Arabidopsis thaliana: one gene and its partners. The protein of the gene in region 1 interacts with the protein of each later gene in a pairwise test. Each region holds a gene or a part of one and is shown in the gene's direction. Other genes may lie near its edges. The genes, in order: RABA1b, MAPKKK7 and AT1G16000.

The links.
Region 2: the proteins of RABA1b (region 1) and MAPKKK7 interact in a protein complementation assay, tested with the Arabidopsis thaliana proteins (one large-scale study listed by BioGRID).
Region 3: the proteins of RABA1b (region 1) and AT1G16000 interact in a protein complementation assay, tested with the Arabidopsis thaliana proteins (one large-scale study listed by BioGRID).

Annotation. Positions count from the first base shown.
Region 1 is NC_003070.9:5,785,824-5,793,513, reverse strand, and holds RABA1b (RAB GTPase homolog A1B), read left to right. Parts: upstream 1-4,201; 5' UTR 4,202-4,366; coding exon 4,367-4,587; intron 4,588-5,595; coding exon 5,596-6,025; 3' UTR 6,026-6,355; downstream 6,356-7,690. Other genes in the region: AT1G16940 (F-box/RNI-like/FBD-like domains-containing protein), read right to left, coding at 23-340, 446-589, 689-1,531; AT1G16930 (F-box/RNI-like/FBD-like domains-containing protein), read right to left, coding at 1,980-2,267, 2,361-2,501, 2,607-3,527; AT1G16916 (uncharacterized protein), read left to right, coding at 6,356-6,530, 6,619-6,752; LSH8 (LIGHT-DEPENDENT SHORT HYPOCOTYLS-like protein (DUF640)), read right to left, coding at 7,647-7,690. UniProt on the Arabidopsis thaliana protein: Intracellular vesicle trafficking and protein transport.
Region 2 is NC_003074.8:4,420,105-4,427,794, reverse strand, and holds the start of MAPKKK7 (mitogen-activated protein kinase kinase kinase 7), read left to right. Parts: upstream 1-4,794; 5' UTR 4,795-6,351; coding exon of another isoform or gene 6,352-6,805; 5' UTR 6,806-7,260; coding exon of another isoform or gene 7,261-7,556; 5' UTR 7,557-7,690. Other genes in the region: AT3G13560 (O-Glycosyl hydrolases family 17 protein), read left to right, coding at 511-577, 672-1,922, 2,027-2,054, 2,140-2,311; FUS9 (Ubiquitin-conjugating enzyme family protein), read left to right, coding at 2,998-3,226, 3,327-3,400, 3,758-3,905, 4,129-4,226; MYB5 (myb domain protein 5), read right to left, coding at 6,352-6,805, 7,261-7,556. UniProt on the Arabidopsis thaliana protein: Serine/threonine-protein kinase involved in the spatial and temporal control system organizing cortical activities in mitotic and postmitotic cells. Required for the normal functioning of the plasma membrane in developing pollen.
Region 3 is NC_003070.9:5,489,766-5,497,182, forward strand, and holds AT1G16000 (GAG1At protein), read left to right. Parts: upstream 1-4,767; 5' UTR 4,768-4,810; coding exon 4,811-4,979; intron 4,980-5,292; coding exon 5,293-5,384; 3' UTR 5,385-5,594; downstream 5,595-7,417. Other genes in the region: PnsB1 (NDH-dependent cyclic electron flow 1), read left to right, coding at 72-222, 310-500, 573-830, 910-1,015, 1,102-1,187, 1,266-1,434; CNGC7 (cyclic nucleotide gated channel 7), read right to left, coding at 1,539-2,258, 2,328-2,676, 2,762-3,075, 3,174-3,386, 3,474-4,047, 4,125-4,171; MGT2 (magnesium transporter 2), read right to left, coding at 5,697-5,927, 6,020-6,067, 6,155-6,613, 6,727-7,317.

The DNA of each region.
Region 1 (7,690 bases):
AGTCTTTCTCTCAGCAGAAAGGTCAGAAACCATCAGCACAAGAAAACATAGACATGGGCTTGTATGTTCCAAATGTTCTCAAGCGAACAACAACTTCACATTTGTTAGATCGTCTTGGAAATGTAAAGAGCTTGCTGAGCATCACATGATCACGTTGATCCTCTATATGATCTAAGCATAGAGTAAATTTCTTGAGCACTGTTGAATTCTCCATAAAATAACTCCATAGTTTCTTCATATCCGCCACCTCTCTTGCTTTTACCTCAACAAACTCAAGCGATGATAAAACACATTGGGGCACATCTGAAAAATTTATTCCCCAGTTATAATCTCGAAACCCCTGCAAATTAAAGTAGAGAAACAAAAGAAGACAAGTTTAGTATATCCAATATTTTCAGAATATGAGTTTCAATTAGTTAGTTGATTAAACAGAACAAATACATACCATGACGAGAGATTTTAAATTCTGACAGCTCTCGAGAAAGATTAGTAAAGATTCCCAAGATCCGACCGCCATGTCCTTGACGCTCAATACAGAAAGTTTATGAAATTTTGGTAGTGATTTCGATTTCGAGAAGTGACGATAATCCTACAAAAGGAGAATGCATGTTACAACTTTTCACATTCAAAAGAAAAAGAAAAAAACGCTTATATAGATAGTTAGAGAGAATCAAGATAGATAGTTTACCTGAAGAATGTCAAAGGAGATAGTCAAATCTCTGACACAAGAGATGAGTTTAAGAATACTAAGCAAGGTTTCACCAAAATAAGCCACATCATCAAGATTCAACATGACAATGGAACTCAAATCATTTATAACGATTCTTTGAATAAACTGACGGTTCAGCTTTAGATACTTGAGCTTTGGGGTTTGCATTACAACTTGTGTTTTCAGATAGCCAGTTTCATTATTGGTTAGACAGAAGCTCAATAGAGACTGAGATGAGACTTTAGCTCCATACATCTTGTCCATAGTTAGGGTTTCTAGGGCTGGGCAGACTGAGACCAGCTTCTCCATATCCAAACTGTCAACAAAGTTGATTTTTTGTAGATCCATGATCTTAAGACAAGGCAGAGAAACTGAATCCGGCGATTTAGGCAAGTTTGCACGATGGAGCTTCAAGAATACCAATCTCTCACATGATGTATAAATAGTTGGAGGTATCTCAACTCTATCATATACATACCTTCTATTACTACCAACATCTAAATGTTGAATTTTATGTTTAATCACATTGTTCATCATCATCGACGTCATGTTTCGACAATTGTGACCATATCCAACATACCTTAGCTTAACTCTTTGTAAGAACATAAACCTTTCGAGAAAATCGAACTTATCATAATTTTTGGAGCCATTGATCACCAAATCCAACCCAGGCAAAGATTGCCAAACATATCTCCATCTGCGACATATAAGGCTAGTCTTGACCACCTCCTCCGTGGGAAGATTGAAAAATATCTCACAAAGCAAAGAATCTGGTAACTGGTTAATTATATTATGACCAACACGTTTCTCCTCAAACGTCATCTATAACTTCTGCGTTATATCAAACAATAATCACGAAGGAGAACTGAACAAGGAACGACGATCCGATCACTCGACTCTGCAAAGGGTTTCTGAGTCTTGATCACGTCAATACGTGAATGCGGCTATTTAAGGTTAATTTAAGTTTTAGGTAAATCCGAATCTTATAATGACCGAGATTTACGTAACAAAAAAGATGTAACTTTACTTTTATGATTTTATCCAACATTGAAAAGAAAAAAAAAAAAAAAAAAAAGGAAATTCATAGATACCATCTGGTTTTACAACTCCAACAGAGAGTGTTAATATATAGTAGGTAAAGAAACCTCTTCTGTAAGAAGAGACTAATCCACCAACATGTTACAAAAAAAACAAGCCTTGATTTATCTGTAGATCATCGGATTGGATACAAAACTGGATTTATGAGAGACGGCCTCGTAAGGTGGCTCAATTAATCCATGACAACTTGACAACTCGTAGAGCTTCTTGGAATCGCTTTGATTTCGTCGATGATGTTACAGAAACTCGCACTTACTGTCAGTTTCTTGAGAGCTGCACCATTCTCTAGAAAGTACTTTGCTAATTTCCTCTTACTTGATGTTCCTGTGAGCGGTCTCCCTTCCTTTTGCATGTTAACAACGTATGGAGTCTTCAAATGAACAAACTCAAGAGATGATAGGAAACATTGTGGCACATATGAAAGATCAATCTGCTCTGTGTCTGGAAAGCAATCAAATTCCTGATAATATATAACCGAGGGAAGTTTGAGTTTTTGTTATCAAAAATCTTAATGTGATTTACATGAGGGTAGAAGAAGCAAATGAAAACTCACCATGACGAGTGAGTGTAGATTTGGGAAGCTCTCAAGGAAGGTTGGCAACATTTCCCACCAAGTATCTTCGAAGTAAGCATGCAAGCGAGACAAGTTAGAGAATTGAGGTAGTTGTTCCATTTTGCAGTAATCATGAATAACCTATGCAGCCAAAAAAACAAACAAACATGGGTTCACTGAGAAAATGTGATAAAGCCATAAAGGAAGTGTATAAGCTTAATGTTATTGAATCGAGCATATATATACCTGTAGAGTATCAGAAGATATGACCATTTCGCTGACCGTAGATAACCCAGTGAGGAATTTACCTAGCATAGCTATCTTGGAAGAATCATCTGGTTCCAATGGATCATTATATTCGACATTAAAGATAACATCGATATCTACCTTTGCAAAGGGGCCAATGTTGTGTATTATGAAGCTGTCAGATCGATGATCACAAAGATTCATATACTCAAGTCTTGGAGCATCGATTGTAACAACATGATTTTGACTTTCGTAGCGCTCAGAATCTATCTTGAAGCTTTTTAAAGACTGGGAACGCACACACACAACTTCAAGAGAATCATTGGGATCACGAACTATGGTTAACTCTTCCAAAACTGGACAACCTGATATTAGAATCTCCAGAGTCGAATCAGCATCGTACTTGACCATATCAAGATGCATAATCTTGACACAAGGCAGCGAAACAGATTCCGGATGATCCAAGGCTACGCGGTAGAGCTGTAAGTTCACCAATCTTTCACATGAATAGAGAGATAAAGGCATCTTAACTAACTCGTCATCATCATCCACCTCATTATGAACATTAAAATGACAAACTCTACGCTTAATCACAGCATTGATCCAAGACTTGAAACGAGAAGCATCGTGCTCATTAACCTCATAGATCAACTTGAATCTCTCCAAGTGTTGCTCATTTTCAGAACCCAGAAACCTATTTACGAAACTCACAAAAACATCATCATCTGGGAAGTTATTGGAATCCAAATCCAATACAGGAACATGTAACCAGAGATTTCTCCATCGTTTTGATAAAACGCTTGTGCAAACCGATTCTTTTGTGGAGAGATCTGAGAGAATCTGACATAACAAGGAATCAGGTAAATTGCTTATCCTATCGGAGTTCCTTTGCTTCTCTTTAACAGAGGTTTCATCATCCATGTCGTTTCCTTAAACTCTGAACTATATAGTTTGAGACTGAATCATGTAAATAACAAACTGAAGAATCACGAATCTGTTAGCTAAAAAAGTCAACTCATAAACTCCAGAAAGAATCAAACGATACTGAAATTACCTGTAGTACTTAAGTATTATTTATTCCCAAAGAGATAACGGCGAGAGAGGAAGAATAAGACGAAAGCACCGTCAATTTTCCGGGAAAAGGGAACATAGATCGTCTCGCTTGCTTGTTGACATCTTTGACATCTCTAAGATGCAGACAATAATAGTCAACTCAGGACATTAATCACGTAGTTTTTTTTTACTATCTTTAATATTTACATTGATTACAAATTTTAGCTAGAAAAATAATGTATGTCATGGCGTGAGTCAATTAATAATATAACCAAAGAGAAGTTAAGTTTTTGAGATATGAAATTACATTATTACTAAAAGTTAAAACGTCCTATTTCAAGAAAAAGTTTGTGTTTATATTGTTGTACTTCCCACTTTATTAGAGCTAACTAATCTAGTGATCTTATGGTGATTTAATGATCAAATTTTTAGTCTTCACCCTGCTAATACAGCGAAAACCTGTAAAAAGTAAAAACCTTTTGATATAACAACAGTCACACACGCGCCCAATAGATCAACGGACCAGATCTCGATTACAGTTACAGACTGTCTTGTCACAAGCCGTCACTTTAACACATACACCAATTTCTTCTCAGCGTTATTTCAAATCTCAGTTTACACCTTCACACTGCTGCGTCTCTCTCTCTCTCTCTCTTTCTTTCTCAGATTAATCGCTGAGAAGAAGCAACCACCTGGAGACGGCGGAGATGGCAGGGTACAGAGTGGAAGATGACTACGATTACCTCTTCAAAGTTGTTCTTATAGGCGATTCTGGAGTTGGCAAATCCAATCTCCTTTCCAGATTCACTAAAAACGAGTTCAATCTAGAGTCTAAATCCACCATTGGCGTCGAATTCGCCACTCGTACCTTAAAAGTCGATGGCAAAGTCGTTAAAGCTCAGATTTGGGACACTGCTGGTCAGGAGAGGTTCGTTTTTCGTCTTCCTCGTCTCTTCATTTCGTTCTTCGTCTCTTATTTGTATGTAAAATCGGCCTTCATGCTAGATCTTGGTATTTCACATTGAGTTTCGTGGCGTATTTTCGATTTATTCCTGGGTCAATTGGTCTCGAGTACATTGCAAATAGAAGCCACTGTCCCGGAGATCACTCTAAGCTCCTTTGCTTCCATACTTAGGTTCTCGATCTAGCAGTGGCTTTAAACGAGTTTCCATAGATCTATCGTTTTGGTGACTTTGATAGCGGACACTAGCTTTTTGATTCGTTTGTTTGACTTAATTTGAATTTATGTTACTGTGTTGGAATTGAGCTCTTTAGCCCAATCTATATGTTCTATCAAACAGTTTTGGAGTGAATGGGAGCTTAACATGAAGCTGATCTTATCTTCTCTAGGTCTAGGTTGGTGAGTGGTGACTATTCAATGTGTGATTCATTCACTGGCTTATGTGCTTGTTTTTAGTTTTTTGGTTGTGAATGTGTTCTGTGTTCAGCAGCCTTTTACTAGAGAGTCTCTCCGTTGACTTTTGTACTCAAATATTGCTCGTTTGTCTGAAGTTGACTGCATTTGACCACCATTGACGGATGGAATCTTGAGGTAGCTAATAATGTAGATTAAAAAAAGTGCCCTTCTTCTGAAATAAGTCTTTGGGTTTTGACTCAATATGACCATGATTGCTTTGATGGAATCTGAATTGGATGGATGAACAAGAGCATGCGATTTTTTCTGGTTAATGATCACTAGAATCACGAACACTTGCATAGACTATTGTTAGAATGCTACAAAGGACTTGCTCTGTTTGCTAGTTGAGTTGCCTCCATTGAGACGATTGTTTTACTTCCTTCTTTGACCTACCAATTTAATTATCACTTTTGGCAAAACATAAAAAGCTTATAAGAATTTTCTTCTCTGACACCTTTTGTTCTGTCAACCACTGATTCTCGCCACAATTTGAAGACTCACTTTTGCTTCTCGTCTCAGGTACCGTGCCATCACTAGTGCATATTACCGTGGAGCCGTGGGTGCACTCCTAGTATATGATGTAACTCGCCGTGCAACATTTGAGAACGTAGATCGGTGGTTAAAGGAGCTCAAGAACCACACAGATCCAAACATTGTAGTGATGCTGGTTGGTAACAAATCTGATCTCCGCCACTTGCTAGCTGTTCCTACAGAAGACGGGAAGTCCTATGCGGAACAAGAATCGCTCTGCTTCATGGAAACATCTGCCCTTGAAGCTACCAATGTGGAGGACGCATTTGCAGAGGTGTTGACACAAATTTATCGCATCACAAGCAAGAAGCAAGTGGAAGCTGGTGAAGATGGGAACGCCTCTGTCCCGAAAGGTGAGAAAATCGAAGTTAAAAACGATGTCTCTGCGCTGAAGAAACTCGGGTGCTGCTCAAATTGAAGCCTTTTTTTGTTTTCACTGTTGAGAGAGAATTATAACCCCCATGGTCCATTGTTTGATTATGTCCTTGTTTTGTAACACTATCGACATTTGTATGAGTTTTAGACCATACACTACATAATGTTTATTTAACTTTATTTCAAGAATTGTTGGTGAACCAGGCTCAATATGCATCAGTTAAGCAGAGGAATCTGGATCTAAAATGCCGACGTTCATCTTCGATAGTTGGATCGTCGCTCTCCTTGTCCTCCAGTTTTGATTCTAATTTCCTCTGTCTTTGTAATCTTCAAAATCCAAAACCACAACTTCAGAACCGGGTCGGGTTGCGTTATGTTGTCGGGTTTAGGTCTCATTTTGTCACTAAACTGCAAACGACGCCGTTCCTTTAGAGAAGAAGAAGAAGATAGGAGCGAGCGAGCGAGCGAGCGATTAGAAGAAGAAATGATGGAGGAAGGACCACCAGCTCCAAAGATGCTTCGAATGGTCTACTTCGTCGGCGCCGGATGTAAGTTCGCTTTATGCTGCTTCATATTTTTTTCTATTTTGATCTCGATTGAATCCAACATTCCAATAAAATATAAAATATTTCGCAGTTCTATGTACATTCGCGATCAATAAGTGGCGTGAGATGGAGAGAAACTCGCTTCTGAAACAGGAGCAGGAGAAGAATCAACAAGGAGATGTTGGTTTATTGCCTAGAGATTCGGTTCAGAAAGCTATGAAATGATGATCACTCTCTTCTTCATCTTTTCTTGTAATTTTGTTTTGATCTTGTGATTTTAGTATCGTTGACCTAAAGTTTGCATCTTTTTTTAATGAACCCTAGAAATCTGATACTCGTACTCATTGGTTTCTGGCTTTGTGCTTAATTTAAAGATTGCTGCTTTCTGAACTCAATTTGATCAAAGGGTTTCAATAAGTCACTGCTTAAAATCTCTTACGGGTTTAGCATTTTCGAGCATTTTAATGCAATTCCCGACCGTGGATGTAATCAACAACAATCACCATTACCAAATCCAAGTGAGTGAGTTCCGGTTGATCGATTACCAATTATCTGGAGAAATCGTTCAGGCACCGGTCGTGAGATCTGCTCGTCTTCTTCGTCTTTTCAAACAGCCCAATGAACCCAATTCCATAGGGCCCATTAACCCTCTAATGGGGGAAATGCCTAATTTGATTGCAATTTTAGTACTCTCCACTACTTGTTCTGCAGCATTTGTTCCATTTTAGCCCCACTACTTTTGCGTATAAACCATATATACCTTAAATATATATCATCTCACCTTGCTTGGCCTCACTAAAATTTGAAGAACGTCATAGCGTTTGGTATGTAAATATTTACATACTTTCTACAGTTTGTACTCACCTAGTTATATGAAACAAGATTCGTATATATACCTCACAAGAATTCCATCAACTAAGGCTCATTCTATAATACACTTGATCTAGATATTGATAAAAACAAAATAGTGGATTATAGTAACTCTGTCAATAAAAATTGGATGAGTCAAAACACACTAAATTATAATCTCTGTATCATTTATATATAAATAGATAGGTAACAAGAACAAGTCAATAATCATTAAACTATGATGATTCCAAGGTGATTTAATTAGGCAAATTAAGTCCAAGTAGTACTAGTTCCCGTACCAACAACTACAAGAC
Region 2 (7,690 bases), on another chromosome or scaffold:
TGCTGTCTTCGCTAGCTTTTCATTGTATCTTCCACATTCTTCCTTGCTCTGCAAATCCAGTTTCTAGAGCACATGTCTGAAAGAACGAAAACGACAAAAGAGTTAAAGATTAAAAATTGTGTCTTTTCGAATGCTCGATGAGTTTGTTTACTGTTTCTCCCCTTCTGTTCTCAGAACGTTGCTTAGTTTCCAGACCCCATTAGTTTACTTCTGTCGGAAATCCTCTGTTTTCTTAATAGCCATGAGATAGTTATCTAAAATTGCTTTCTTGAATTCACCAAAAAAAAAAGTTGCTTACTTATTTTTAGGGTTCTTACCATATTTGACCAATTATAACTCTCCTGAAAAGATTAAAAAAAAACAACAGTTTTTTCTGACTTCAGAGTGAGAAATCTACAATCCATTGTTATATTAGGTTTCAAATTTCTGTTAAAATCATTAGCATATGGCTCAATTTTGAACCTTTTCAGAGTTTTTGTAGGTTTAAGGTTTTCAAGCACTCTGTTTCCAATGCTGCTTCCGAGATGGTTTGCAGAAGCGTTGTTGCTCCTACTTTCAATTCTTGCCTGTTCAAACGGTAAATTTCACATGTTATATCTATCTCTAAGTTTACTTTTTTATTACTTGGTGAAGTTCATAGACTCTCAATGTTAATCTGATTCTTTATACAGCTGCATTTATCGGTGTAAACATTGGCACTGATCTCACCAACATGCCACCGCCTTCAGACATTGTAACACTTCTCAAATCACAACAAATCACACACGTCCGTCTCTATGATGCTAATAGCCATATGCTCAAAGCATTTGCCAACACTAGCATCGAAGTTATGGTCGGTGTAACCAATGAAGAAATCCTCAAAATCGGACGGTTTCCTTCAGCTGCAGCTGCTTGGGTTAACAAAAACGTCGCTGCTTATATTCCTTCAACTAATATAACCGCCATTGCTGTTGGTAGTGAGGTTCTCACCACGATTCCTCACGTGGCGCCGATTCTCGCCTCTGCTCTTAACAACATTCACAAGGCTCTTGTGGCTTCCAATCTCAACTTTAAGGTCAAAGTCTCCAGCCCTATGTCTATGGATATAATGCCTAAACCGTTTCCTCCATCTACATCTACCTTTAGCCCGTCGTGGAACACCACGGTTTACCAGCTTCTTCAGTTTTTGAAGAACACTGGTTCCTTTTTCATGTTAAACGCGTATCCTTACTACGGTTACACAACCGCTAATGGGATTTTCCCGCTTGATTACGCTTTGTTCAAGCAGCTTTCTCCGGTGAAGCAGATTGTTGATCCCAACACGCTTTTACATTACAACAGCATGTTTGATGCTATGGTTGATGCTGCTTACTACTCCATGGAAGCTTTGAATTTCTCCAAGATTCCTGTTGTAGTCACGGAAACAGGCTGGCCTTCGTCTGGTGGAAGCGATGAAGCGGCTGCAACAGTCGCTAATGCGGAGACATTCAACACTAACTTGATCAAGAGAGTGCTGAACAACTCAGGTCCTCCTAGTCAACCAGACATACCGATAAACACTTACATCTACGAGCTGTACAATGAAGACAAGCGGTCAGGACCAGTCTCTGAAAGAAACTGGGGGATTTTGTTTCCAAATGGGACCTCGGTTTACCCTCTGAGTTTGAGTGGTGGCTCTAGCTCCGCAGCTCTAAACGGTTCATCGATGTTCTGCGTGGCTAAAGCAGATGCTGATGATGATAAGTTGGTTGACGGTTTGAATTGGGCGTGTGGTCAAGGCCGAGCTAACTGCGCTGCCATTCAACCGGGCCAACCTTGCTACCTCCCTAACGATGTTAAGAGCCATGCTTCTTTTGCTTTCAATGACTATTACCAGAAGATGAAAAGTGCAGGTGGAACTTGTGACTTTGATGGTACGGCTATCACTACGACTAGAGATCCTAGTAAGTTTTTCTCATTTCCTCTGATCTATGTGTTGCAATAATTCTATGTTTTCAAGTTGTTTCCTCAGAGTAAATCTCAAATTCGATGGCTTGTGTGTTTGCAGGCTATAGAACATGTGCATATACGGGAAGGTAACGATACTAAATTTATGTCTTGTTAAGTTTTGAAAATGAAATCTGCTCCTAACTCTTTGAAATCATTTTCCATTTATCTCAGCTTAAACGCAAACGCTACTAATGGAAACTTTCCTCCGGATGCGTTAGGACCCGCAAGTCCATTGGGAGGAAACGCAAACGCACGTATCATCTTTAGCTACCATCTTCCCATATTGGCACCGTTAGCTCTCACTCTACTACAACTGTTGCTTCAGCATGACCGCCTTTTGTAGAACGTTTGCCAAAAAGCGGTTTTGTAGTAACCGGGGAAGTCTACCTGTGGCTTGGATTGGATTTCTTACGGTTACCGGTAGTTACTGTGTACTTTGTTTTTAGTGTAAGTGTAACTAGAGACTAAAGAGGGCTCACAAGTTCCCATTCTTTTTTTTGTCTTCATCTTTGAACTAAAATATTCGAATTAGAGTGATTTAAATTTCATATTCAAATGAATCAGTGCATTGTAGGAGAGTTTACGTAAATCATGTTATTCATAAAAATTGACAGAGTAAATTTGATTATGTTTAAACAAAAATTAAATTGATTTTGGATAATTTCAATTTTCTTTCCAAAATGTGTGCCTTTTTCAAGAACTTTGAATAATCATTTATCAAATTATTAAGGATTCACGTGGTTATAACATGATCACATTACACAAAAGGACAAGAATATTCGATAATTCAACTTAAATAAATTTGGTTGTCAAAATGATTACAAATTTATTGATAGTGATTAGTGAGAGAAAATAAAAATAAAAAATACATGTTACAAAATTAATCTCCACGTCAGCGATTACTTTATTTGTTTAATTGATCGGACAAAAACGCGGCGTTTCGAAATCTTTTCCCGATGGAGTGCGAGCGAAACGATCAAGTGGTGGATTGGATAAGCAGAGAGTATCGGAAGACGACGACGACGGGAGATGATGACACCTGGCGGAAGCGGGAGGTTGAGACCGTTACCGACGGCGATGTACGCCGGATATTCAGGAACGGCGTCGTCTTGGGTAGCGAAGACTTCAGTTTCTGCGTCAGGGAAGAGGATACAGAGGGAGATGGCTGAGCTTAACATTGATCCACCTCCTGATTGCTCAGCTGGTCCAAAAGGAGATAATCTCTACCATTGGATCGCCACCATCATTGGTCCTTCGGGTTTAATTCTGATACTCTCTTTGAATATTTGTAGATAATCCGATTGAAAATTTGTTAGGTTTTCAAGTCTTTGAATTTGGTGTTTATGGAACTTTTGCAGGAACTCCCTATGAAGGAGGGATCTTTTTCCTGGATATAATTTTCCCATCTGATTATCCATTCAAGCCACCTAAGGTATGATCATGGATTCTTTGGTTAACACATTTTGGGAGCTTTACTGATTTAGCTGGTAATGATTTAAGGTTTAGAAGTTTTGATTTCTAATGATGATCTCTTTAGGAAGAACTATTTAGTGAATATCAATGAGTCTTCAACTGCATCACATTGAAACAGAGATCATCTAGTGTCTCAGACTCTCAGTGTCTAGCATATTATGTAGTTTTATTGCTTTCAACATAGTCTTAGGATACATTTTGTAGCAAATTTCTTGAAGTTTTGGGTCTAGTGATAGTCAAGCTATAGGTACTAATCTAGAGCTTGCACTTTTATTACATCTGTCTTTTTGGTTAAGTTGGTGAGGTTGATTTGCAGTTGGTGTTCAAGACTCGGATTTACCATTGCAATGTTGATACTGCGGGAGATTTAAGTGTGAACATTCTAAGAGATAGTTGGAGTCCAGCCCTTACAATCACTAAAGTCTTACAAGCCATCAGATCTATCTTCTTAAAACCTGAACCCTGTAAGTTTCTATTCTACTCTCAGGCTTCAGATCAGACCATTTCAAGTCCTCTGATGAAATGACCAGCTCATGTCAGATCTACCTAAGAGAACGTTTTTAAAAAAAAGTTTGTGATGAGTTTTGGCCAACAAACATAATAGATGTCCGCATCTAACTACTGTATTTAACTTCCATAGTAAATCTCTATTGTTCTTATTCTTTTTGCTTCTTCTTCATCGACCAGATAGTCCAGCTTTACCGGTGATTGCACGGCTCTACTTGACAGATAGAGAAAAGCATGACGAGGTAGCCAAAGAATGGACATTGCGATTTGCCAAGTGAGATCTTCAATACGAGGAAAAGACAACTGATGTATTATAAATACACCTAGTTCTTTGGTTAGTTAATGGTCATCAATGTACATTCATAAAAGTGGAACCACAATGTTAGATGGCCAAGAAAATTGTTTGCTCAGATAATAGGCAACAATGTGAGGTAGGACCAATCCTCAACAACTCCAATTTATTGAAGGTTATACAATTTAGTGTCAAATCTTTTCGTCAAGGACTCGAAAACCAAAGATCATATATGGTCTGAATATAACTGAGGAATTGTTTCTTTTATAAGAAAACAAGAGCATTTTGTTTTGAAACAAGAATAGTAGGCCATAACTTCTAGAGAAAAGCGATTACAGATGAGATAATTAAACTGAAGAGTATTAGTTGGTACCTAACATGTTCCATAATCTTTATTGATTGATTATCTCCAAAAAGAAAGATCAAACTTTCTATTGAAGACACAAGTGAGACTTGAGAGACCAAATCTACCGGTCAATTCTTTTCGTTCTTTTAACCTAACTCTGTTTAACATAATTATCACAAATGGTCAGTACATATCTATCTACGCATGGTATATATAGAGAATATGTAGAACAGCAGTGTTAAAAAAGAGTAACATATTTTGAGTCTCTGCGACTAATATCTTCATATCGGTACGTTGTAATATTTATCCGTTAATTATACGTGTGTTAGATGTGTTAGTGTATATGCAGATGAATATGTCATTTTATGCATCACATGTATATACTCAATTTGTTTATCTTATTTTTTTATTTAATGTTCCCCTTCGTTGGCATCATATATATTTCTCTTGAAGTTTTGAGTAAAACCTCTAGAGATGTTGGAAGATATATCCAGTATATCGACTATATATAGTATCCAATCTTATGATGACTATGTATCTAACACTAAAATTTTGTTAATCAGAGTCTTAGGTTTACGAATTTTTTGGCAATAAATCATTTTCGTCTAAATTTGGTTGAGCCAGAGACTATCGGTTAGTTAATTATTTTTGCTGCTGTGATGTGAACCGAAGGGTCAAAGAGAAGGTTAGGTCGGAGCAGCATAGTCGCATGCGAAGTTCGTTTTAAGTAAAAAGTAAAAACTTATGTAAATTAAACGTCAATTATTCTAACCGCTAATGTTGGTCTATAATTCAATTTTCCTAGGCTTTAACTAAGGGTAGTTTATATGGCGTAAATGTGGGAACGTGTGAAGAGTCAATGTGAAAACGGCATGGTGTTCTTTTTGGTTTTAAGTAACGAATTCTAGAGGGAGAACGCACGGACGAGAGACTGTGATGAAGTAAGCATATATATACATAAAACTGTGTTAAACAATAAATCTGCATGCATAGGTAAAAAACTATATCTTCGACCAACATTGGTCTTACTATAAGATACGTAAATGTGAACTACGCAACAAACTTTGATTTTCGAACTTATAGTATATCCTCATCGATAAAAAGAACCTATAAGTTTCAACTTATATATACAACTCATGAATTGTGTCTGAAATACTTAAAACAAACATTTTTGAGTTTTAATTTAGTATTACATGAAAATAGAGTTTTATAACCTCAACTCGTGTGGTGACGCAAACACATAATAAACCTATAGGCAACATATATGTTTTTTTTTTCAAACAACATATATGTTATTATCGTACTTTAGTATGTAAACTGTCCGGAATATGTTTAATAGCTTATAAAGTTTAGTGTATTTTTGTTTTCAAGGATATGAAGTTTAACGTTAGCACTTAGCTAGCCTGTATTGTTTACATTAAATAAACTTCTTGAAGAAATTAAACTTAGAAACATATCTAGTACCATAATTTAAGATTGTGAACATGCTTATTAGTTATCTGTATTTGACAAAAGCTTACCACGAGTCTTATTTAACGATAGTGATGATTCATTTATTCGCAATAGATATATCCATATATATAAATAGAGGTTTGTGTACTCAGTTACACTCACAATTTATGGTTTTATAATAATCACACAAATCACCACAAAACAACTTAGTACACATATATGCCAACCTTCTAGATCGCATCTGTGACCCCTTCTTGAAGCATGGTAGATATAGAAGACATCAAGATTCGATCAACTATATATCTTCCTGTATCTAGTCATGTCCTAAGCTAGAAGACGACGCTCCAACAATCCCATCCTTACAATCATCCATCTGCAAAGGTTGAGATATTGGGATAATATTACCAAAAGGATCACCAACATCGTTGATGAGCGAATTAAGAAACGATGAGAACTTGTCGTCGTAGCAGAAACCAAAGTCTTCGTAGCCGTGTTCACCACCAAAGACATTGATACTGTTCTTGCTATCTCCATCCCCGCCATTAACAGTGGTATCATCAGTATGAGAACTAGAAATAGGCTCTAGAGGGTACTTTTGTCCACCGGAAACTTCTTCTTCTGGTTTATGGATGTTGTTTGCATCAAGAGGCTTGTGGGTTTGAGGATCAATTCCTTGCCTTAAAAGTTTCTTACGAAGATGAGTGTTCCAATAGTTCTTAATTTCATTATCAGTCCTTCCCGGTATCCTTCCCGCGATCAATGACCACCTGCATCACACATTAGAATTTCCATGAAGAACAAGAGCGGTTAATTACTAATATGGTTACAAAACAAGCTTGCATTTTTATCCTAGTAATCATAAACAATTTGAAAAAAGAATGAATGATCTCTAGAACTATTAATTTGCTCTAGAACCAGAATCAACTTAATTAAAATTATACTCTAAAGAAACTAGAGAAGGGATTAACCTTTTGTTCTATATAAATATCGAATCAAGAATCAAAGTATAATTGTTTTATATAGCTATAAGAAAAAATGGGATCAAGCTAAAATCAGAACCTTCATGTTTATGTGGAAGAAATAAAACCCTAGCTAGCTTAAACAAAAAAATAACTCTAGTGTATGGGTAGAGAGAGACACACACATACGTATGCATATAAACTAAACGATCTTGTATAGTTGAATACTTGACGAGATTTTTTTTTAATATCTATATATATACCTGTTGCCGAGGAGGCGGTGAAGACGGAGGATGAGATCTTCCTCGTCCGACGTAATTCCTCCACGTTTAACCGAGGGTCGGAGATAGTTCATCCACCGTAGACGACAGCTCTTTCCACATCTGAGTAAACCAGCTCTCTTAGGAAGCGATCGCCACCGTCCTTCACCTTCTTTCTTAATGAAGCTCACAAGAATCTCGTCTTCCTCCACCGTCCATGGTCCTCTCTTCATCCCCATCTTCGTGCAACACGGCGTTGTTTTCTTAGACACTGGCTTCTTCCCACCACATGACATCATCTCCGCCGTCTTCAACAAAGCTTTCTCTCTTTCCACTAGGGTTTCGTGATCTCTATGAGTTCTTCGATTGGTTGTTTTTTTCTTTTCTCAAAGTTTCTCTCTCTCCATTAGTCTGCTGATGTTACCAATGAACC
Region 3 (7,417 bases), 290 kb from region 1:
GATTCGACATTTTTTTAAAACCTTAAACTGAAATGCAGAACATTGTCCGTACGTTTCTGTTGTTTTGTAAGGTATCCTGGTGTTCAGGTAGATATATTAACGACTGAAAGAGGAAAACAAACATACGAGCTAAACAAAAACGTGAGATGGGCCAATGTGTATGATCCGGATGATCATTGGCCTGAACCAGCTGAATACACAGACATGATCGGACTCCTCAAAGTTTGTAACTTTCAAATATTTCAACGTTTTTTCTATCTTTCCTTTATCAGACTGCTTAGTTAACTTTTCTTTTAAGTCATGTTTCAGGGAAGGTACTATGACATGGTTCTGTCCACGAAGCTAGCAGGGTTAGGCCACGCAGCGTTCTTGTTCATGACAACGGCTCGAGACAGGGTTAGTTACATTTACCCGAATGTTAACTCTGCAGGAGCTGGTCTGATGCTGTCCGAGACCTTTACAGCAGAAAATACCAACCTTTCAGAATTAGGTTATAGCATGTGAGTTCCTTGAAACCGAAGAAACTGCAGGTTTTTTTATCGCCTGTCTAAATTGACTGTTGATGGTTTCAGGTATACTCAGATGGAAGATTGGTTAGGAAGACCGTTTAGGAGTGTTCCAAGGACTCCTCTGTTGCCACTTAGGGTATCGATTTCACGGAAAGTGAAAGAGGTTGTGGCTGCAAAGTATAGGAATGCTGGAGCAGTGACGGGGAAGTTTATAGTGATTCATGGTATTGAATCAGATTCTAAGGCATCAATGCAATCAAAAGGAGATGCTGATAGTTTACTTTCACTTGAAAAATGGGCTAAGATTATAAAGGGTGTAAGGTAATTATTACACACCTTCAAAATGTGAATTTTTTGCTTAGTTTGAAATTCTCTGAGATATGATTGTGAACAATGCCAGGGGATTCAAGCCGGTCTTTGTGATTCCACATGAGAAAGAAAGAGAAAACGTTGAAGATTTTGTGGGTGATGATACATCTATAGTGTTCATCACAACACCAGGACAGGTATGCATGCTTATCTGTCTGTATTTGTTATGAACAAAGTTGAATTCACTGATCTTACTTTGATTCCTTTTCTTGAGCTTACTTAGTTGGCTGCTCTGATAAACGATTCTGCTGGAGTCATCGCAACAAACACAGCTGCGATTCAACTAGCTAATGCGCGAGACAAACCATGGTGAATACCTGAGTAATATAAAGAGTACTGATTCAATGTTTTCAAGAACTAACATGTGTGTGCTTCTTTTTCTTCCAGTATTGGGTTGTTCTCTTCAGAAGAGAAAGGGAAGCTCTTTGTACCGTATGCAGAAGAGAAGAGTAACTGTGTAATTATTGCTTCGAAGACTGGAAAACTAGCAGATATCGACATTGGAACTGTTAAAAATGCAATGCAGGTCTTTGAAGGATCATTGGCTCTCGTGTAGATAACTTTACAGTTTCTGAAACAAGTTCTATATATAGAGCATTTATGTGTATAAATCAGTTATGTAGTCTCTGTTCTGATGTTGGCCTCTCATCAAGAATTGGATTATTCAGCATCAAAATCAGGTTCCGGAGGCTTTTGCAGATTTATCAAGGTCTTTGAACTCTCTGAGCTCCTAAGTCTGTGCCCTTTCAATGCATTAGCAGCAAATCTTGATGCAAATATCGTTGAACGCAGTCTAGAAGAAGACTCACTTCTTGTGATAACCATAGGCCTCTTGTCACTCTCATCATCATATTCATCTTCATAACCCAATTCTTCTTCTTTTTCTTCAATCCGTCTCAATTCAGCGTTTTTCCTTCTTGAATAGCGACGCCAAGCAGCTTGGATGAAGCAAGAAGCCCAAGTTCTCCATTGCTGAGAGTAAAACCTAAATGTTTGTTGAACCTGTCGACTATGAAGTCTCCTAAACTGACTTGCTACAAACTTCAGCTCTTCAGCTTCAAGAGCGAAAGCCTCTACTTCAGTCAGAGCCTTCACTGTTCTTGTGGAAGAAGGTAAGTTTGAGCCTGCTTTAGGGTCAAGAGCCCATGTCAGAAGCTCTTCACCACAAAAGTCTCCTTCTTTTAACAACCCTCTGTTGAAGAAACCGCTTCTTCCCCCATCTGTTGTTACACTTTCTAACCGGCCTCGGATTATGAACATCATTTCGTTAACGGGGTCTCCTTCACGCACAATGTAAGTGCTTTCCGTGAAAAGACTCGGCTTTAATCTCTCACAGATTGCGTCAAGTAATCTTTCATCCATATTAGCAAACAGAGGAACCTGTAGAAACAGAACACATAGTTAGTTAGTATCTCAAGCAATTTTAGCATTCTGATTGTGAAAACTTACCCTCCTAACTAAATTCAGACAGAGATGGCGTTTGATGTCTCTTCTGAGATCCTTAGGTAAACTCTGAACTATGTTTTCTTCGTCTACACCTCTTGTCTCTAACCATTTGTATTGATCATAGCGTCTGACTCTTTCCCTCAAATTTTGTGGAAGTGACCTGTGATGCATCCACTGTTCTGAGTCACGTCTTTTGATCCTCATTTCCTCGAGACGAACAGTAAGTGACTGAAGATAAGTCTGCATATTCCCGATGAGAAGCGCGAAAAGAAGAAGCCCAGCTATAGCAATCGCAATGGAAAACAAAACCTCTCCTGGAAATGTACTTGTCTGCAGCCCTTGACCTAACGTGCTGTTCATGAAAACACCAAAGATGTCAAGAGTACTCTGCACAAGCTATCGGTTGAACCAATGACAATGAGTTGCCCCCGCCTTACCTGAGATTTTGAAGACCCCACCATAGACAATAACAGAACTTGGAGAAAAATGTTGTTGATGATACAATGCCTGAAGATATAGCCTGACCGTATATCCCATAGTTAAACTTTGAATCATCTGCTTTAGCAGAACAATTGCTCTTAAGAAGCTCAGGGACTGTTTTGATCCATTCAGTTTCTCCACTGCTCACAAATTTAGTCCCACAATACAGAATCTGAACACAGAGTCGCGGATCTGGCTGAACTTTACACGCAAATCTCCAACAAGTATCGTTACGCTCCACTGACAACATGTACCAAAACGCTCCAGTTATCTGTCAAAATGTGTTTGTAAAGTCAGAAAGTGACCAATGATGAATAAATGTCTCAAAACACTAATTAAGAAGAGTCATATATACATAGAAACGCTTACGTGGCTTGCAAGCATATACCAGAGAAGATAATAAGCAGCACCAGCCCAAGCTCCTTCGGCAAAAGCTCCTGCAGTTTTCTTCAACTCTGATGTTAACGGAATAAACCTCACGAATCTCGGAATATACTGCACAATTACAATGTTCAACAATGCCGTTTTCGTTGGTAACACATCCGATCCTTTAGACCCGTGAAGAAACTTCCACACTGCAATCTGTAATATCCACACAAAACATCATAATCAATCCCAAAAGTCCAATATTTTTAGTAACCATCAAAGGATCTTTTCACTCTGTTTTACCTGCGGTAAAGGCAGCACTGCAAGAAAATCGACGACGAAATAACGGGTTAAATAGCGTTCAGCGATCTTTGCAGGATCAATCACAAGCTCACCACGACCAAACACACGAGAAGAAGGAGCTATATAAGCTGTACGAAACTGAAGAGCCATTCTAGTTAAGTAAAAAACGTCAACAATGGTTCTAAGAGTCGTCGTTGTAACAGCTAGTTTCGTATCAATCCCTATACAGCTGCTTCCGGAATTATCGACAATGGGAAGATAGAAGAACAAAGGATCAACAGAGACAGCTAAAATACACGAAATGACGAACAATCTGTTCCATACGAGAAGTGTTTTGTCTTGAGGATCAAAGATTTTCTTCTCTGTTATTCTTAAGTCTTCTGGAAAAACCGCTCTTGTAACGGATTTACCGATGGTTATTAGACCTTCTGATCTGATTTTTTTAACTCCTTCCCTGAAAGATTTGGATGCTTTCTTCTTTTCACCTCCTCGGTTCTTTAGGTTAAATCCGAAACAGTTTCTCTGCATCATCATTCCAGTCGCAGGAGAAGAACTTGAATCTATATCATCTAACCTGTAATTATAAGTTAAATGTCATTCATAGATCTGAAGAAAACAAAGAAAAATATTGCGATCTTTTGATTTTCTTACCTAACGAATTTTTCTCTTTGGCCGCTTATGTATTGGGATTTGTACATTATTCTGAGAAACAATCATAAGCTTCATGCAAAAATTAACCTAACAACATCACAACAGATCTCAATTATATGAAATAAAAACTGGAAAAGAGCTAATTAAGGATCGGCAACAAATACTTAAAGTGATTTGTAATAAATGTGGGAAAGTGTATGAATGATTAAGGAAAATCTAGGGCTTGAAGAAACTTGAGAATGAAGAAATTGAGGGTTCCTACTTAGTACCATAGATGACGGATGAATGATTGAATACTCCTTTAGATTGGACCGTTGTGAAAGTTGGTTACCATAATCATACACTAACTAACTTTTGATGCGGAGCGTATTTACCGCGTATTTTGACGAGGCGCGAAGAGTTATTATAGCTCTCTTCTCTTCTATCTAATTCACTCTCTTTATTGGCTTTCGATGAGTAGCGAATTTACCGCGTATTTTTTGGTGAAACTGTAATGTCAGAAAGTTATCACGCTTCTACACTAATATGTAACAAAATATGGGGTTTAAAATGTTATTCAATAAAAAGGAAATCTTATGTTGATGGGCCATAATAAGGCCCACTTATACATGGTACTAAAACCTCTGATGGATAAACCTTGTGTGCTGTTGATCGGAAAGGAAAAGTAAAAAAGAGAGATCTGAGAAATGGGAAATGAGACGAAGACCAACGGTGGTCCTGCAAGTATGGCCGGAGGCGGAGGATTCAGAGCTAAAATGGAACATTACGTTTACAGTGGTGAAAAGAAGCACGTCTTGGTCGGGATCGGAATCGTCACCATCATCTTCGGAGTTCCTTGGTATTTGATGACTCAAGGTCCGATCTCTCTCTCATCGTTTAATAATTGTATAACCAAATCCCTTCTTGGGGATTGAAAGGGTAATTGGTAGAAGATGAAATTGGAGGATTTTGATTGCAATTAGATTCTGATTTTGGTTTTCTTGCAAAATGAGAAACATGACATAGTGAGTAAATGGTTTCTCAGTATATATGGAAATGGATCACATTGTTTCATTCTAACATTCCCATAGGACCTGAATCTGTATATCTCTTACATCTGCTTTTGGTTACATCCTATAGTGTTGACTCTGTTTGGGCTAATTGGTTGAAGTTCTTTGGTTTCTTTTAGGGTCAAAGCATCAATCTCACCAAGATTACATGGACAAGGCCGATAAAGCTCGAAAAGCACGCCTCTCATCGTCTTCATCAGCTAACAAGTAGTCTGTCTGAAGGATTGAGTCATTTGCACACTGTTATCTCGTACTCATTTTCCCACACAAGTTAAAACTTAGTCAAAATCTGAGTCTTTTTTGTGATTTAGATTCAAAATCATTCTCATTTTCATGCACCATGTTTGGTTATCCGTTTTTTAATAAAAAGATCAAAGATTCTATCACATTTGGATTGACAATGCCTATGATAAAAATTCCCAAGATTCCATTGTGTAAAGGAAACAAATCATTAATATCTGTAAGCAACATAACAATATAAGTTGATGTCTACTTTCTGGGGAGCACATTCATGTCTCTCTTCTTATAGAGGCATGAGTCTTCTGTACTTGAAGAACCAGACGAATGCCGAAAATATCACAAAGCCACATACTCCAGTAATTATGAGTACCCATCTGAATGCACCTGGCTGATTGAAGAAGTCTATCTCAAAGTTCATCCCAAAGATCCCAGCAACGACCCCAAATATGGCTACAACAAACGTTGCAGTCGTCAGAAGCAACTCGAACTGGATCAGCTGATTCCGCACATTATCCTGCAGATATTGAAGAGGTTTTCAGCATGACTCTTGTGCATTCTCAATCTGGATTAATATCAGCTGTGGAAGATGGAATTTTGAGGTATTACCAGTTGAATGTTAATGAAATCTTCAGTGTCATCAATGTACTCCTTTAACTGTAAAGTAAAGAGAGGAACACAGATGATTAAAGCTGTCTAGCGAAGAAAGATCAAAAGTAAAAATGAGAGGAGCCATTAAAGTACCGATGTCAACTTGTTTAGAGTACTATCAATGACGACAAAGTAAGCTTCCAGCAACATCTCTAGCTCTTCTATATTCTCTGCACCTTCAGAACTCCTTGCACTGTCATGCCGACTCCTCGCAATGCTCAAGCTTTTATCAAGTCTTCGGGAATCAGGTGGAGAAGAAACAGGAGACACCGGTGCAGAAACAGATAGACCATCATTTGACCTGTAACCCAATAAGGACTGGTCACCGTACATAGATCCTTCCATTCTCCTCTTCTTCTCTGTTAGATACATTTCTGCCATATCTCCATCATCATCCATTAGCTGCTCGATCTCATCCCGAACCTTCTGAACTCTTCTTGTCAGTGCTACAAGCCTGCTCTTTAGTCTACGCACACGCTCCAAGTTTAGTGTACTGATCTTTGAGGTAAGCTCATCTAATAACGGGTATGCCTCAATCTCCAACTCTGAAGCCTATAGAGAAGGATAAAATTAAATCAACTTAGCGTGTAGTAGTCAAATCCAAGCCCAATATTAGTCTATATTTTCTGAGGGGGAAACAAAATCGAAGCTAAAGTGTTACTAACCTGGGAATCGAGAAACGTACAAGCAGCTTCAAGGGCTATTTCAAGAGCTCTAAACTCGAAAGGTAAATAATCAGGGGATGAATTCTCAAAAGCATTGTCAAAACTCCTGCTCCTCCTCCTACTCAACTGGGAATTTTCCTGCTGCCACATCTCACCTACACTACTAGTCTTTAGTCTCTGCTGCAACTCAACAACATAGCGCAGCACGTAGTTGTCAAGGGAATTCAGAAGCAGAACTTCGTCTGCAGTAATAATACAACGGATCTGCTCTAAGTTGACAACAATAGCCTTCTCTCGGCCTAGGATAGTAGAGGGATACACGAATAAGGGATCAAGCAGCCTTAAATCACGGGCGGGTAAGTCACACCTACGCATCATAGTGAACTTGTCAACCTCCATGACCTGAGTATTACCAGAAGTATCAACACGAATCCAAGAGCGTAGGCCTTGTCCACGCTTCTTCAGACCCAAGACATCAACTCCAAGAAGGGGTGGTCTTCCAGAAGCAGAAGGCCGAGTCACAGAAGCATCTCTGAGGTTCATAGCTGAAGCAGGTCTTGGAGGAAGCAGGCGCTCTTTTAGCTCAGACATTGTTGCAAAAATTCAGATACTGAAATGCCAAATAACTACAAATATCAAAATAAATGATGTAAACAATGATATGATTAATTAGGTAATCAAGAAGATTAAG